Linked DNA regions of Struthio camelus. The protein of the gene in region 1 interacts with the protein of each later gene in a pairwise test. Links are inferred from orthologs where the notes say so. Each region holds a gene or a part of one and is shown in the gene's direction. Other genes may lie near its edges.

Region 1 (7,093 bases):
AGCAACCCGCTTGGGCATGAAGTTCTCATCGGTGGTATCCACTGTCAGCAAGAGCTTCCTGCAAAAGGAACCACGAAATGAGGTGGAGATAGCCCTGCATCTGAACACCCACCACCGCCCCACTCGTGGCCTGGCCACATCTGTATTGAGCACATGCAACTGGTGTTAGGAGCACTAGTTACTTATGATGATGCTGGCTAAGAACCTGTCAAGTCCAGAGCCAGAGCACGGAACAAGGGCCAGGGAAGTAGGGAGGGCAGGGCAAACCAGGGCCACGATGGACATGCACACAGATTGGCAGCTGCGCAGCCCATCCCAGCCACGAGCCAACATGCAAGGGGAAAGACATCTCACTTGACAATGGTGCCTTTCTTCATGTTGAGCCGCACCCAGTGCTGGCCCTGGGACCCGTCGCTCTCCCAGTAGGTGTCTGCGTGGCTGTCGGTCAAACACGACACATTGAAGTCCTCCTGGAAGAGGGCAGTGAATGAATCAAAGATCAGATGGGGGCAGGACTTACTTGCCCATTAGAGGCTACTCTCAGTATAAGAGGGGTGTTCAGCTGGCCCAGCCCCATTTGCTGGACTGTGGGAAGACAGAGGTTCCCATATAGAGAGCACAGGATACTGGGGCTGCCCTAAAGTGCTCTGGGACCACACCGGGCAGAAGCGCACTCCCTAAAACCAGCTCAGCAGCTACCATCAGCATTTGCTTCTCAGATCACAGGTCGCACACTACTCCCACACAGCACATCACATGACACTCCTCTCTGAGCCTAGGCCTTCTCTCTCATGTCGTCCAACACACAGACCAGAGCAGCGCACTGCACAGAGCGCCATCCACGCTCCTCAGCCCCAGAGCCCAGCAGGGCTGGCCCAGCCCTGCACCGCTCCTCACATGCTGCTCACCGTGTAGGATGAGACATCGATGCTGTCCACGTACTGCTTGACGCTGCCCAAGTTCTCATCCTCCTTCCCAATGTGATCATACAAGAAATGCACCAGGTCTTCATCGCATTCATACGTCCACGTTGGGGGCACATACCTATGAAGGCAAGAGGGTTAACGGGCCTGGAGACCCAGGGACAACAAGGCTGCATTAAACCCTGCTAGGATAATGTGTCAGGGAAGGCGAGTCTGTGCCCTGCTTGCTTTGGTCTCATGCTGTTTAGTGATTTGTGCAGGCTTATCTAGGACAAGGTTGTTTGTGCTGAGCAGAGCCACCCCCCCCACCCCATTTCCTGCTGCCTGTCTTTCTTCCCCCCCGCCCCAGTCTGCAGGAGACGGCTGTCTGAGCAGTGGGGGAGAAACAGCAGCTCTCTCCCACCCACAGCTGAAACCCACGCACACCGGGGACTAGCTCGTACCGAAGCTTCTCTACCGCAGCCTCATCCTGCTCCATGGGCTTGGGTTTTGCTCCGAGGCGCAAGGAGTATGTCAGATCTACCACCTGCTCCCACCTGAAACAACCCAAAGAAGGCAGGAGTGAGAGAAAACCAGAGAAAGGAGAGGCCAGAGGTCAAGGAGCAGCTGGGACGAGGTGATGGGGGTTTAATTCCCCACTACACTGCATCTTTCATCACCTCAAGCCTCGTCAGCTACCCTTTCCTTCCAGATCATCTCTACTTCTTCCAGGTCATGCCCAGCTATGCAGGTGGAAAGCACTGTGACCGAGCAAGACCTGGTAACTCCAGATCTGGATTCCCTACTGTCTCACATTCATATAGGAAATGGCCAAGTGGGCTGCGACTCTTCAGTCCAGAGCAGAAATAGTGCTGAGGGGCAAAAATCACAGGCAGCAGGGCATGGACCAATAAGAACCTCACTGCACTTTTAGGTATAAGGAGAAGGGGATGTCACACAATGAGGGCAGGCTCGGAGTATAAATGCACTCAGGAAGATGGTTCTACATCCTACATGTGGTTAATCTGTGGAAATTCCTACCACGAGATGTTGCAGGTGCTAAATTCATATAGATTCAAGGAGAGATCGGAAAAGCTCATGGAGGAGGAAAAATCCACTAGAGGGTTACTAAACATGCAGAAACCATCTCTGGCCCTGGGAGTCCTTGACCCAGGAATGGCTAGAGGCTGTGGAAGAAGTGACTTAGGGGAAGAATTACTGCATCTTCTGTCTTTTTGCTACTGGGGGATATTGTGTCAGACAGACCTTTGGCCTGACACAGCACAGCTGTTCTTGTGCTCTCCAGCAAACGATCAGGGCCAGCGCTCTGGAGAGTGCGAGGTCACACTGAGGCACCAGCACAAATGGTATTTTTGATCTTTTTAAACAAGGACTACTTCTCCCACTTTTCCCATCACTGTGGCTATACCACAGTACACCTGAAAAAGCAACATTCACACATGGATCACGGGGGAAAGTTCAGAGCACAGTTGCTCTCAGAAGGAGAGTTACCTACTGGTAACTCTGCCTGAGTTGGCCTGCTTTGAGCAGATGCCCAGTGCAGGGACCAGCACATGCTGACATACAGGACATGCTGAGAGACGGGAGGGTTAGTCTGCATGCCAGGGACCTCAGGTGAGACAGCAGTGCAAACACACTCAAGAACATAAACCGTTGCCATATGCAATCTCCTGAACGCTACAGCTGAGGACCAGGTTTAACATGCAGGTCTCCAGCTTCTCACTGTGGGTAACAAAATCCTGATTTCTGCTCCAAGTCAAGGTCTGCAGTGGGATGTTGCCCTATCCTGCATGCTGCACCCTTCCCAGACACAGTGAGGTGCTGCACGTGGGCCGTCGAAGCTGCACTGTATGGTCACTTATGATGACCCGTGGGGGAGAGAAGATGTGAGACCCACGGCCCTGTACCTGATCACGGGTTTGTAATCGACCCCGAACAGCTGCTGCTGCCTCTGGATCCTCTCCATGGACTCCACCGGGACCAGCCGGTCCCCTCCTTCTGCATGCTTGCACACCAGCACCCAGCCTTCCTCCAGGTCACAGCCGCTCTTGTACTCCTCCAGCTGCTCCTGCACAGGAAAACACGTCCCGTAAGGCCCCCCAGGCCCCGGCTCGTACTCGGAAGCGTGGCAGCAGGGCGGAGAAGACAGCCCTGGGGACGCGCCAGGGAGCGTGGCCAGCAGCGGCGAGGCCCACCAGCGAGGCCCACCGGCTGGCGGGCCGCCGGCAGCGGCTGCGACGGACCCCGCTGCCCAGTGAGCCACGCACGGCGGCAGGAAGACGCAGCGAGGACGGACTCCGAGGGACAGCGGATCTGTCACGGGTGTGCTGACCCCCTTCCCCCCCCACCCCAAAACACCACCCGCACTCCCGCCTCAGCCGCGCGCCCCAGCCCTGCCCCGGCGAGGGTGACGGAGAGCAGCCGGCGACACGGCGGCGACAGTGTGGTGACGGGTGGGGGGAGCCGCTGGGGGGAACCGGACGGCGACAGAAAGGGGCCGGGGGCTGCCAGCCGGGCCCAGCCGCGGACAGCGGCCTCCCCCGGCCCTCCAGCGGCCCGGGCGGGCACCGGGCCCGGCACCCACCGCCCCGGCCCCGGCGCCGTTACCTTGCTGAGCTTCACCCAGAGCCCGGCGCCGTTGCAGTACTCCTCGCCGGTGGCGCGGAGGCAGCCGCCCTTCCGCACCTCGATGGTGGCCCGCGCCGCCCGCTTGCCGCCCCGCGCCGGCCCCGGGCTGTCCCAGACGCTGAGCAGGCTGCGGGCGGCGGCGGCGCCGGCGGCGGCGGGGTCCTTGCAGATCTTGTACTGCACCTCCCGCGGCACGTAGCAGAGCGCGGCGGGCAGCGCCCGGGCGCGGCGGAAGCACTCGCTGCACTGCAGCAGGAACCGCAGCCGGCCCAGCACCTGGTGCGGCGCCTCCCCGCCCGCCCGCATCGCGCTCCCGCACCGGCCCGCGGCCTCCGGTCCCCGCTGGCGGCGGCGGTGGCCGAGCCCAGCACTGAAGCCGGGGGGTCACTACTCGCGGGTTTACGGCAAACCCCGCCCGCTGCCCGGGCAAGATGGCGGCGCCCGCGGGGCGGAGGCAGGGCAAGATGGCGGCGCCCGCGGGGCCGCGTACGGAAGGGCCGGGAGCGGGGCAAGATGGCGGCGCCCGCGCAGTGTACGGAGGGGCGGGACCGCGACAAGATGGCGGCGCCCGCGGGGCGGGGCGGGGGCGGGACGGAGCGGAGAGCGCGGCGCCGGAGGATGGAGGGCAGCGAGCGGCTGGTGTGAGTAGCCGGGGCCCGGCTGGGCGGTGGGCAGAGCCCCCCCCCCCTCCGCCGTGCCGCGCCGCAGCCCCCTCCGGTGCGGCGGGGCGGGGGGGGGGGCCGGGACTGGGTCCAAGCACCTCCCCTGCGCCCGCACCGCCACACCGGGGGCCAGCGCTGGGGACACCTGTTTGACACCCGTGCGGTACTGGAGTCCCGTACTGGGCACACTGGTGCGGCACTGGGCCCTCCCTTGGGGACAGTGGCGCGGCCCTGGGGATGCTGGTGCCGCGCTGATCGGGTGCCGGGGACGCTGCTCCCACACGGGGAGGGGTCACTGGGGACACTGGTGGCGCGGCCTCACGCCCTGTCGCCGTGGGACAGCGCTGGCCTGTCCCCACGGGGGGCAGGGGCTGCCCTGTGCTGGGGGACCCCCGAGGGGCCGGCATCTCCATCCCCCCTCGGCGCTGCCAGCCCGGCCGGGCCACCCCGAAGGGGTCGGGGGGCGCGCGGGGGTCTGAGGAAGCGGAGGCCACCGGGTAAGCGCGCACTCGCCTGCTGCCGAGCAGCACATGCACTGAGTTTGCCGTGGCTCGCAGGGGCTCAGCCCCGCGTCACCCACCCAGGCCTGCGCGGCCGAGATAGGGGCTGGGGAGCGCCCCGCGCGCTCGGGGACACCTCGCGGCGGGGCCGCCCGGGCTCCGGCCGCCCCGAATCTCTCCCAGCGGGAGCAACTGCTGCCCCTGATAGCTTAATCTCGCAGGGCCCTGGGCAAGGCACTGCCTGTCCCCAGGGAGGCCCCCTGCGCTGGCCCTGTCCTCGGGCCCTGTAGGGCCAGATCCAGAGCAGGAAGAGGCCCTGAGAAGTATTTGCAGGTCGGCTGGGCAGCGAGGACAGGCTGCCAGCCCCGTCCTGGCACCCGGCGTGGCGCTGCCTCAGGAGGAGTGCCGGGAGCCGTGGTTGAGCCGTGCCCCTGCGCCCTGCACAGCCCAGCGAGTGCCACGGGGGTCTGGTGCCTGGGGACCAGCCTGGCTCTGCTCTTCCCCCGGCCTGCCTGGCCGTGAGCAGGGGAAAGCACTGGTCTCCCTTCTCCGAGATGCCCTTCAGCCCTGGCAGCACCAAGGAGTCTCTCATAGCCCCTTGTCCTGCTGGGAAACTGAGGCAAGAAGCCGGTGCTGGTGATGCTGTTGCAAGAGGCCGGGCAGCATGTTACTGGCCCCATGCAAGGCATCACCCTCCCAGCCCGTCCTGCCTGCGTGGTCTCCCTCTGCTCCAGGGGTAAGTGGCACCCGGGCCCCTTTTCTCTCTAGTAACAGCCTATCTCTGCTCCTTCCTGGCTGTAGCCCCAAGGGCTTCCCCAAGCTGAAGAATGACACATTTCTGCGAGCAGCCCGTGGTGAGGAGACAGAGTACACGCCAGTGTGGTGCATGCGGCAGGCAGGGCGCTACCTGCCTGGTGAGTAGACGAACGGGTGCCAGTTGGGCAGTGAGGCAGAGCTGGCACTTCCCCACGCGTGCCCTGTCACACTCGTGCCTGTCTCTTGCAGAGTTTCGGGAGACCCGGGCTGCGCAGGATTTCTTCGCCACCTGCCAGAGTCCCAAGGTGTGCTGTGAGCTGACGCTGCAGGTGAGCAGCACCTTGGGGAGGCCTGTGCGTCCCCTCTCTTCTCCCAGTCTGGGACAGGGTTTCTCCTTGTCCCTTAGGTCTGCCTCTTACTCTGGGTGGCCACATCTCCCAGGAGGTTGTGTCGCTGAAAGCCTAGCTCAAGGGGCCTTTGATAGCCACCAAGCAACCCATTGGGATGGGACAGGGCAGTATGGGCTGTACAACCACCTTTAACCAGGCAGATCCCTGCCTCGCCTCAGGGACCCTATTGCCTGGGGTGGCTATGTGCATGCCTGAGCCCTCTGTGAGGAGGGATTCTGGGCCCCTCACTTACATTGCTTCTTCCTCTCTGCCATCTGCAGCCACTCAGACGATTCCCCTTGGATGCTGCTATTATCTTCTCCGATATCCTGGTGGTGCCCCAGGTGAGTGCCGTGGCTGGCCGCGGGAAGCAGCGGCTGGGAAGGGGCCTGGATCCAGGGCTGCCCCATTCCTGCCTCCTCCTCTCTCCCCCATCCCCAGGCACTAGGCATGGAAGTTGTCATGACACCTGGCAAAGGACCCACCTTCCCAGAGCCCCTGAAGGAGGTGGAGGATCTGCTGAAACTGCGGCAGAAGGTGGATGTGACCGCGGAGCTGGGTTATGTCTTCCAGGCCATCACACTGACGCGGCACAGCCTGGAGGGCAAGGTGCCCCTTATCGGCTTCTCTGGGGCACCTGTAAGTGATGGGGCTCCATGAGGTGGGATTTCCAGCCGGGCGTGGTCTTCCCTGCTCCTTCTTCTGGGGTAATGCCATCCCCAGCACCCGCAGAGCTGCAAGGACCTGTGTCACCGGAACTACACTACTGGTGTCAGTAGTGTAGTTCATCCTGTGTAAGGCAGGGGGGTGTTTGATGTGGGAGAAGCTGATCCCCAGGCTCTGGGGCATTCACAGGTCCTGCCTTCAGCACTGATCCCGTGACTGGTCCCTCACACCTTCCATCTCCCTCTTCGCCACCTTCTCTCTTTCCCGCAGTGGACGCTCATGTCCTACATGATTGAAGGTGGCGGCTCCTCTACGATGGCCAAGGCCAAGAGCTGGCTCTATCGTCACCCTGATGCGAGCCACCGACTGCTGCGGCTGCTCGCTGACGTCATCACTGACTACCTGGTGGGGCAGGTGGCTGCTGGAGCGCAGGTGTGTCCCAGGGCCAAGTCTGGGCAGGAGGGCAGAGACTAAGGACAACGAGCAGAGGGGGTCTAGCAGCCAGGAGGAGGAGAGGGAAGAAGGACTGGGGTGTGTGGCACCCATGACTCTCCTAGCCCCGCATCTCC
Region 2 (7,671 bases), on another chromosome or scaffold:
TTGCTATTTTCTGGGAGAAAGTACTGCATTTTAATTAAGCTATGCTCACTGCTCAAGTCAGTTTGATAGCAATTCCTAAGAATTTAGGCCTCTGCTGACATGCGAATTACTTCATTTTCATTTGCTGGAATGCACCAATTAAAATCGTACAGTGGAAAGTTTCCTTCAAGATATAGCTTGAATGCTTCAATCAAAAACTCTGTCGCTTTGGCAATCTCAGCAATTTATTTTGCCACAGATCACATTTAGTCACAAATTACTATGCTGGAAGTAGTTAACAGAGCCATAAGCTTCCAGCAAGAGCTTTAGAAAAAAAATGTGTTTGCTGATGTGATAAACATGGCAATTCAAATTTCCACTCTCTGTTCTCGAGTTGCAGATCTCTCTCTGATTTGCCACTCGCCTCACTTTCAGATCTTTCCTGTATGGTGGGGCAAACTGCACTATGTTGGACACCAAAGATCATATGTTTAGAAGATCATATGTCTCTCATTGCTTTTCACTGTTGACATCAAAGGTTATAGGTTAAATGCAGATAAAACATCTAGGTGTTAATTCAGGAGGTCACCTTCCTGACCTCAGAGGTTCATTATATTTCTCATGTTATGTCAAATATCATAACTGTCAAATATTTGAGATACCCAGATTCTCATTATATGTGTCGGCTTTTTGAGATACTTGAATTCTATAGTTATCTAAGTTCCCAGTATTTCTGCTGGGGACACAGGCAGAGTCAGCAGGCAGTAGCAGCGTGGAACAGCTCCGTGCTTATTTCATGCATGAGCCCCAATACAAGTCACAAACTAGGTATGTCCCTGCCTAGGTCAGTTGTGAGGCCGAGTCCAATAGAAGTATCAGAATGGCTCTAACCATGTTAGAATCAAGAGGAGCCAATAACTAGTAGCATCTGGGTTATACCAGGCATGCAGGATATGCGAGATCTAGAGGCTCAGTCACTTCCCTGTCTGAGGAGACATGAACATAACTCTCCCATGAGCATGTCCCAAAAGCAAAACTTTCAGATCTTTCTGGTGGGTGTCTCTGAGTGAATCCTGCTGAAGTTGGTGTGTGACATCTGAATATTCATTATAGAAGGACTTTAGAGCAATTTCATCCCCTTCCTGCTTCTGATCTAAGGAGCCATTGTCATTCTTTTTTTTTTTTTTTCTCATTGACTGAACAGATATTTTACGAGCCCATACAAAGCTGAACAGCTTCAGTGGGACAGACTGAGCACGACTCACTCAAAAATAGCCTACAGTCTGGTGGCTTTCAGTACTCTCCTGGGAGATACGGGTTCAAGTTCCTTCAGAGAGATGAGAGACTTCCACCTTGGTCTTTTATACCCCAAGGAAGCTATCTAAACTATTAAGGCTTTCGATGAACTAAGGCAGCGCCATTTCTTCTTGTGCGTGAGAAATGACCAAACTTTAAAGCACTTGACCTTGGGAGAATATTAGACTCCTTAACATGAGTGAAAGGAAGTATGATTTTCCAATAACTGTTAGAACTCTAACTATCCCTATCTGTACTACTCTCTACCAGCTAGCTTAGGCTACCAGCTTTGATGAATCTCATTTTAGGTGATATGCCCAGCTTTACAAGAACTTGGTGCCTGTCTCAGGGCTGAGGAGTCCACTGGAGGGCAAAGAGTTGACCAACAAGGTGTTACAATTCAGAATCTACCTCCCCTTTGTGGATTTAGCTCTAGCTCTCCAGAAAGCCATGGAAAGATCACCATCCACCAGGAGCTCCCAAGTCACACACCTGCCTCAGTTAAGCGCCTGATTAAGTTTCACAGAACTCAGTGGAAGAACTTTCACTAACCTCACTAGGAAGTGGTTTAATCCGCTAGTGCCCCTAATTTCACCATGGTGGTTAAGCATTCCAGGGTGATAGGGCTACGATGCAGTGTAGCACTTACATGCCAAATGGAGCATAATTTATCTCAGTTCTCATAAAACTCTACTGAAAAAAGAAATGGAAGTGATTAAATAATTCAAGGGTGTCATAACCATCAGCTGAGTGAATATCCGCAAAACACAACATGCTTACAGAACATGATACTAACTCAGAAGTCTGGTCTCTAAGATGAAAATATAAACATATAACAAGAAGAGCTATTTCTTCTCATAGTGAATATCTTTCAACAGCAATAACAATCAGAGTACAGCATTCCACATCCAAGTAATGGAAGAATTCTAATTTCAAATCAACATCATCTTTTTAATCTCTGGTTGTCAGATGTGTGTAGGTTAAAGATGAGATAGTAGTGAAGCAACAAAATAACTTAGGTGCCTAATTCTCAAAACTATAAAGCTTAACTCTGAAGCAACCCTTTAGCTCTACAAAAATCCCTGGATCATATCAGCTATACAGTGATACAGACTGTTAAATGTGCCTGCTCCATGGATGATCCATCATCTCTAAGCTAAGGAGTACACTACCCTCTATGGACTGTATGCATCAAAGGACTGTATAACCATGCAGCTTTGGGTTTTATGAGAGCCCTGCACCATGACAGGTCTTTTCAGCCCTGACATGAAAAGCACTATTTCAGGTGTGGGGAATTACGGGGAATCTAAATTTAAAGCATCTGCAATAACTTATGGGCCATGTTGCAACCCACTAGGATGTTATTTATATGACAAAATTGGAGGTATGCGTTGCTGCATACCTCGACAACAGCTTGAGAGTATACAGATGTGCTTACAGGTGCAAAGTCAGCTAGGAAAGTTTTGGGGAGCTGTGTAGAGCAGGAGGAGCCAGACCGCATGTAGCTTTACTCCTACTTCCTCGGAAGGATATGGATGGAGGAGTTTCCTGGAGTGAACCAGGCCCAAAACCACACCTGGGTTTTGTTTGAGAGGAGAGTGATTCACTCCAAAAGATAATCTAACTAATTCTTATGCAATCTGGATGACCAAGTGACTGAGACACAAGTGGGATACACAGATCACCCCCAGGCCCTAAGGGAATCACTGAGGGAAATACCTTATTTAACAATGTGGACATCCCCATTGACTTCACTAGGCACAGCTACAACTGTGTTGTCCACAGCCCTTCGTTCCCTCTGCGGCATGTGCACAGAGCTGAATATCTCAAAATGGAATTACAAAAGCCAGCATGCCGAATGAGGAGTAACTTCCGATAGCAAGGACAGAGGTGTGTCTTCAACTCTGCCCTACTCCAGTTTGGGCAGCACTGTGAAACGGTTCCTCCCTCCACTGCAGGTCCTCAGATCAGATTATCTCTGGCAGATAAGTACCAAAGTTCTTTTTTTCAAAAGCGGTGCAAGAGGTCAATGCTCTCTTTAAAAGTATGGTCACCAGGAGAGACTGCATTTCATTTTCACCCTCCACCCTCCATCCCTTGTGAAAGGCCTGCAGAGTTTAGCCGCTTCAAGGCTCAGAGGCTAAGCATGCAGAAATTTTAAGCATCTTAATTTTGGGCTCCAGCCCAAATAATATAGAAGCAATAAAAGCCTTTTGTGGATTTCCTCCCCAATACCTTATCTGCAGGTGCAGTATGCTGTTATGTGTGTGTTTTACGACACAAAAATATTTGCCTACGGTTTCTGATCCTAGAAAGCAGGAGATTGATCAGAGAATATGGGTTCTGAGGAGCAGTCATTGAAAGAAAACTCAAAGAGATCAAAGAGATCAAAGCAACTGACAAGGTGCAGAAAATTAAGCACTAGTGTGAGCTGAAGCAGACAGGAAGAAATGAGAGAACAAGATAGAAGAGCTGCAAGTAAGTGTGGACGTGCGCACGTGCATGAGCAACTCTTCTAGGGAACACTGAGCTTGTACTTCTGCACAAGCACAACTTTCCACACATTGTAGTAAATTCAAAAAGAAACTTGGCCTTTAACATAAGGCTGCTAAACCATTTTAGCCAAGAAATAAAATTGCTCAAAAGACAGTAAGGTACAGTCCAAGATACAGCTTTCGGTACAAATAGGAGAACACTTAAAAGTCACTTTTATGTTCAGGTCAGCTCCCCCTTTCAGCAGACTCTCAGCTCTACACTTGCCCATCCTTAATTACTGAAGCAATTTCACAAAGCTCTGATTATGAAGCAGGGCCCTCTTTTGTCCAACACCAGCTACATCAGCAAATAGTGCAGCACAAGAGAAGAGGAACTGCAGAGTGAAATAGGCAGTGGTGACAGTGTAATATTTACATTACACACATTTTGGAGGTTTACTAGACTAGCTCTAGTCTGATGCTGTGGCTGGAGTACATCTAGTTTAGTTTAATGTGAAAGAAATCCAGTTTGCATTGTTTGAAAATGATCTGGGATGCAAAATGAAAGTGTGTGTGTGTGGAGGGGGTCTGGAAATTCACTTCAAAAGCACACTCCTGATGAGAACTAAAATACTCATGTAGACAGAGCCAGTAGCTGAATTCAAAACAAACAAGTCTCAATCCAGCCGCCTGTCACCTCCTCTGGGGCTGAGCGCGTTTCCCTGCCCCACCATCCCGCGTAGAGCACAGCGCTCATCTCCCTGGAGCAGCAGCTCTTCTCCCCACCCCCAAAGGGCAGGTCTATATTTGAAATCACAGAGGCGTATAATCTGAGGGAAATGGTATTCTTCGAGTTCGTAGGCAGTGCCCAGCACCCTGGTAACACTCCGTTTGTTCCTTCACTTGCTGCTGCTTAGCGAATCCTCAAAACAGCGGTGAGCGCTTCGCTTTACAAATTACAAGGCTATAGACAAAGGGAATAAATGAGACAATTTAAAGGCATTACTCCTAGCTCCCATAAATTCTCTGTGCAAAGTCTATTTTAACAGCATGGATTTACCAGGGCATGTGGAAATAGTGAGAATAATAAACCTACCTAGTAGACTTAACTAGGCATTAATGAAAAAGCAGACTTTAGTGTTTTGCATTCCCCGAAACCCAGGAAGAAAAATATTCCCATCAGTTCTGATAATTCCTTTCTAGGGGGAAAGAATCATAACCTTCTATATTGAAAAAGAGAGCGATCGCTTGGAGTCGGGAAGAAAAGAAATTAATAAAACTAATTATATGCTTCGCTCACGATGGAATCTAAGACGCTAAGTCAGCCCAGGAGAGTCGGGCTCTTTGATTTTGTGGGCTTTTACAACTTCCCCGTTATTGCTTGCGGCCCCGAGGAGGCAACTCCCGGCGCCCCGGCGGGGGGCAGGGGGGCTCCGCGGAGAGGGGCTGCGGGCGGGCGCTTTCCCAGGGTGCCAGGCTTTGCATCGCCTCCCGGTGCTGTCCCGGGCAAACTCCGGCTCCCAGTTACCGGCAGGTCGGGCTGCTTTGTGGCACCGTTCCCTTAAAGGAGCAGCGGCTCGGCAGCACCCCCGTGCGTGTGCGTGTGCGTGTGTGTGCGAGTGTGTGTGTACACACGCTCCCGCAGCCAGGCGCCGCGGAGAGTCTTGCAGCCGTGGCGCCGAGAGCCCTCCCGGCCGACCTCCGCTTGCAAATCAACCTCGGAGGGGAGCAAAGCGCTTAGCATGTAGGAGAGAAGAAAGGGAAAAGGTGCGGGGAGGAGGAAAGGTGGAGTGGGGAGGGGGGAAGAAAAGAAAAATAGGTGGGGGGGGAGGAAAAAAAAAAGAGCTGCCTCTTTAAATACTGGGGGCTGAGCGCTCGCCGGGGCGTCCGCAACCGGATCCAGCCTCCCTCCCCTTGGCCGTGCCTCTCCGGCGCTTGTTGCACAGCCCCGAGTGCCGGCAGCGCGGCGCACGGGCGCTGCTGCTGCGCGCGGAGCGGAGCGGAGCGGAGCCGGGCCGGGGGGACCATGCGCACCATGCGCCAGCCGCGCTCCGCGCTCAGCCCCGGCAGCCGGGCCGCCGCCAGCTCGCCCTAGAGCCGCTCCCGGCGCCGCGCAGCCTTCCCCGCCGGGTAAGTTTGCAACCGCCCTGGTGCCGGGGCAGGAGGAGGAGGAGGAGGAGGGGAGGAAGGAAGGAGGCGCACCTGCCCGGCGGCCCGGCTGGGGAGAGCGCGCAACTCCGCCGCCACCCGCTTGGACCCTGAGACCCGGGCAGGAGAAGAGGGGGCTGCGGCCCCCCTGGCCCTCTGCGGCCCCCGCTGACGGGTTAGGCACGGTGCTTCCTCACTCCGCCGCCTGCTCCCGCACCTTCCTCCTTCTTCCTCCTCCCTGCCGGCTAACACTAACAGGTGGCCGTGCGGCCTTGCCTTCCTCCCCAGCACCCCTTCCCCCGGGTCGGTAGGAGGGTGAGGGTCTCCTTCCTCTCCTCTGCAGCCCCCTCGGGTCACTGCCTTGGGCTCTGACTGCCTTTTTGGCCCTGCCCATGGTACTCTTCCACCTGCTTGCCCCCCCCCCCCCCCAAAAGCTGTGCTGTGGCCAGCAGAGGTGGGGTGCTGGTTGGGTCCATGCCCTGCCATCCCTCTGCTGCCTCTCCTGCCTTCACGGACCCATTGTTTGCTTGTTGTTGCAGTGGGCATGGGGAACCAGGTGGAGAAGCTGACGCATCTGAACTACAAGGAAGTTCCCACGGCTGACCCGACAGGTATGGACAGAGATGAGGGGCCCAGGATCGGGGTGTCCTACATCTTCTCGAATGATGATGATGAGCTGGAGCAGCAACAGGATTCGGTGCATGATCTGGGAGGTGAGCACCCTGCCTTGCAGCCCTATGATCCCCAGCTGCATGAGGTGGAGTGCTCAGTCTATTACCGGGATGAGTGCATCTACCAGAAGAGCTTTTCTGAGGAGGATACGCTGCCAGAGGAGGGTGGTGAAGGAGGTGGGGGGCACCTGAGCACATATACACCGGAGAACCTGCTGAATAGGTGCAAACCGGGTGACTTGGTGGAGTTTGTGTGCCAGGCCCAGTATCCGCACTGGGTGGTCTACGTCGGGGATTTTCAAGTCGTGCACCTGCACAGGCTGGAGGTGGTGAACAGCTTCCTGACTGACGCAAGCCAGGGTAGACGGGGCCGCATTGCCAACTGGCTGTACCGTTACAAACCGCTGAGCCCGGCCACTGTGGTGCGCAACGCCCTGGAGCAGGTGGGCTGCAAGGACCGGGACTTGAGCTGGAGAAACTCGGAGTGTTTTGCTGCCTGGTGCCGGTATGGCAAGCGGGAGTTTAAAATCGGCGGGGAGCTGCGCATAGGCAAGCAGCCCTACCGATTGCAGATCCGGCTGGGTGACAAGCGCAGCCACACGCTGGAGTTTCAGAGCCTAGAGGATCTGATCATGGAGAAGAGGAGAAATGACCAGATTGGTAGGGCTGCTGTGATCCAGGAGCTCTCCAGCCACCTGCAGGCTGCAGAGGAGGAGGAAGAAGAGGAGGAGGAAGATCATCATCCAGGTGCTCAGACTGCTATGGAGTAGCAGCCTCAGCACCACCATGCTGCTTAGGCTGGGTGATGGGGATTAAAACTGAAGGCTGCGAAATTGAGCTGTTATAAACCCTTTGGGCTGCTTCAGTGCAGCTTCATTCCAATCACATGTGAAAGGAAGGGGGAAAGCTGATTAAGTGTCTGTGATTTAGTGCTTAACTCCTTCAGTGCTTGATGGAGCACTGACTTATTTGCAGAGGATAAAACTCAGGGCCATCCTACCCCTTCTCCACTCCCTCCTCTTTCCCTTCCTCTCTGCCGTCTAAGCGCATAGCCTTTCCCTCAACCATCTGCCAGTAGGCCTGACCCTACAAGATGCTAAATG

The links. The genes of interacting proteins can lie anywhere in the genome.
Region 2: the proteins of UROD (region 1) and LRATD2 interact in binary tests that used the Homo sapiens proteins (3 or more experiments, as listed by UniProt). The two-hybrid records come from large-scale screens. The link is inferred for Struthio camelus from reciprocal best matches to the Homo sapiens genes UROD and LRATD2.

Annotation. Positions count from the first base shown.
Region 1 is NC_090949.1:27,115,794-27,122,886, forward strand, and holds the start of UROD (uroporphyrinogen decarboxylase), read left to right. Parts: upstream 1-4,083; 5' UTR 4,084-4,109; coding exon 4,110-4,192; intron 4,193-4,931; exon of another isoform or gene 4,932-5,267; coding exon of another isoform or gene 5,268-5,332; intron 5,333-5,514; coding exon 5,515-5,627; intron 5,628-5,718; coding exon 5,719-5,798; intron 5,799-6,139; coding exon 6,140-6,202; intron 6,203-6,299; coding exon 6,300-6,497; intron 6,498-6,794; coding exon 6,795-6,956; intron 6,957-7,093. Other genes in the region: E3 ubiquitin-protein ligase HECTD3, read right to left, coding at 1-58, 355-470, 909-1,044, 1,367-1,459, 2,831-2,991, 3,531-3,857. UniProt on the Homo sapiens protein: Catalyzes the sequential decarboxylation of the four acetate side chains of uroporphyrinogen to form coproporphyrinogen and participates in the fifth step in the heme biosynthetic pathway.
Region 2 is NC_090943.1:161,576,785-161,584,455, reverse strand, and holds the start of LRATD2 (protein LRATD2), read left to right. Parts: upstream 1-4,662; 5' UTR 4,663-4,684; intron 4,685-5,253; exon of another isoform or gene 5,254-5,879; intron 5,880-5,995; exon of another isoform or gene 5,996-6,072; intron 6,073-6,436; 5' UTR 6,437-6,441; coding exon 6,442-7,338; 3' UTR 7,339-7,671.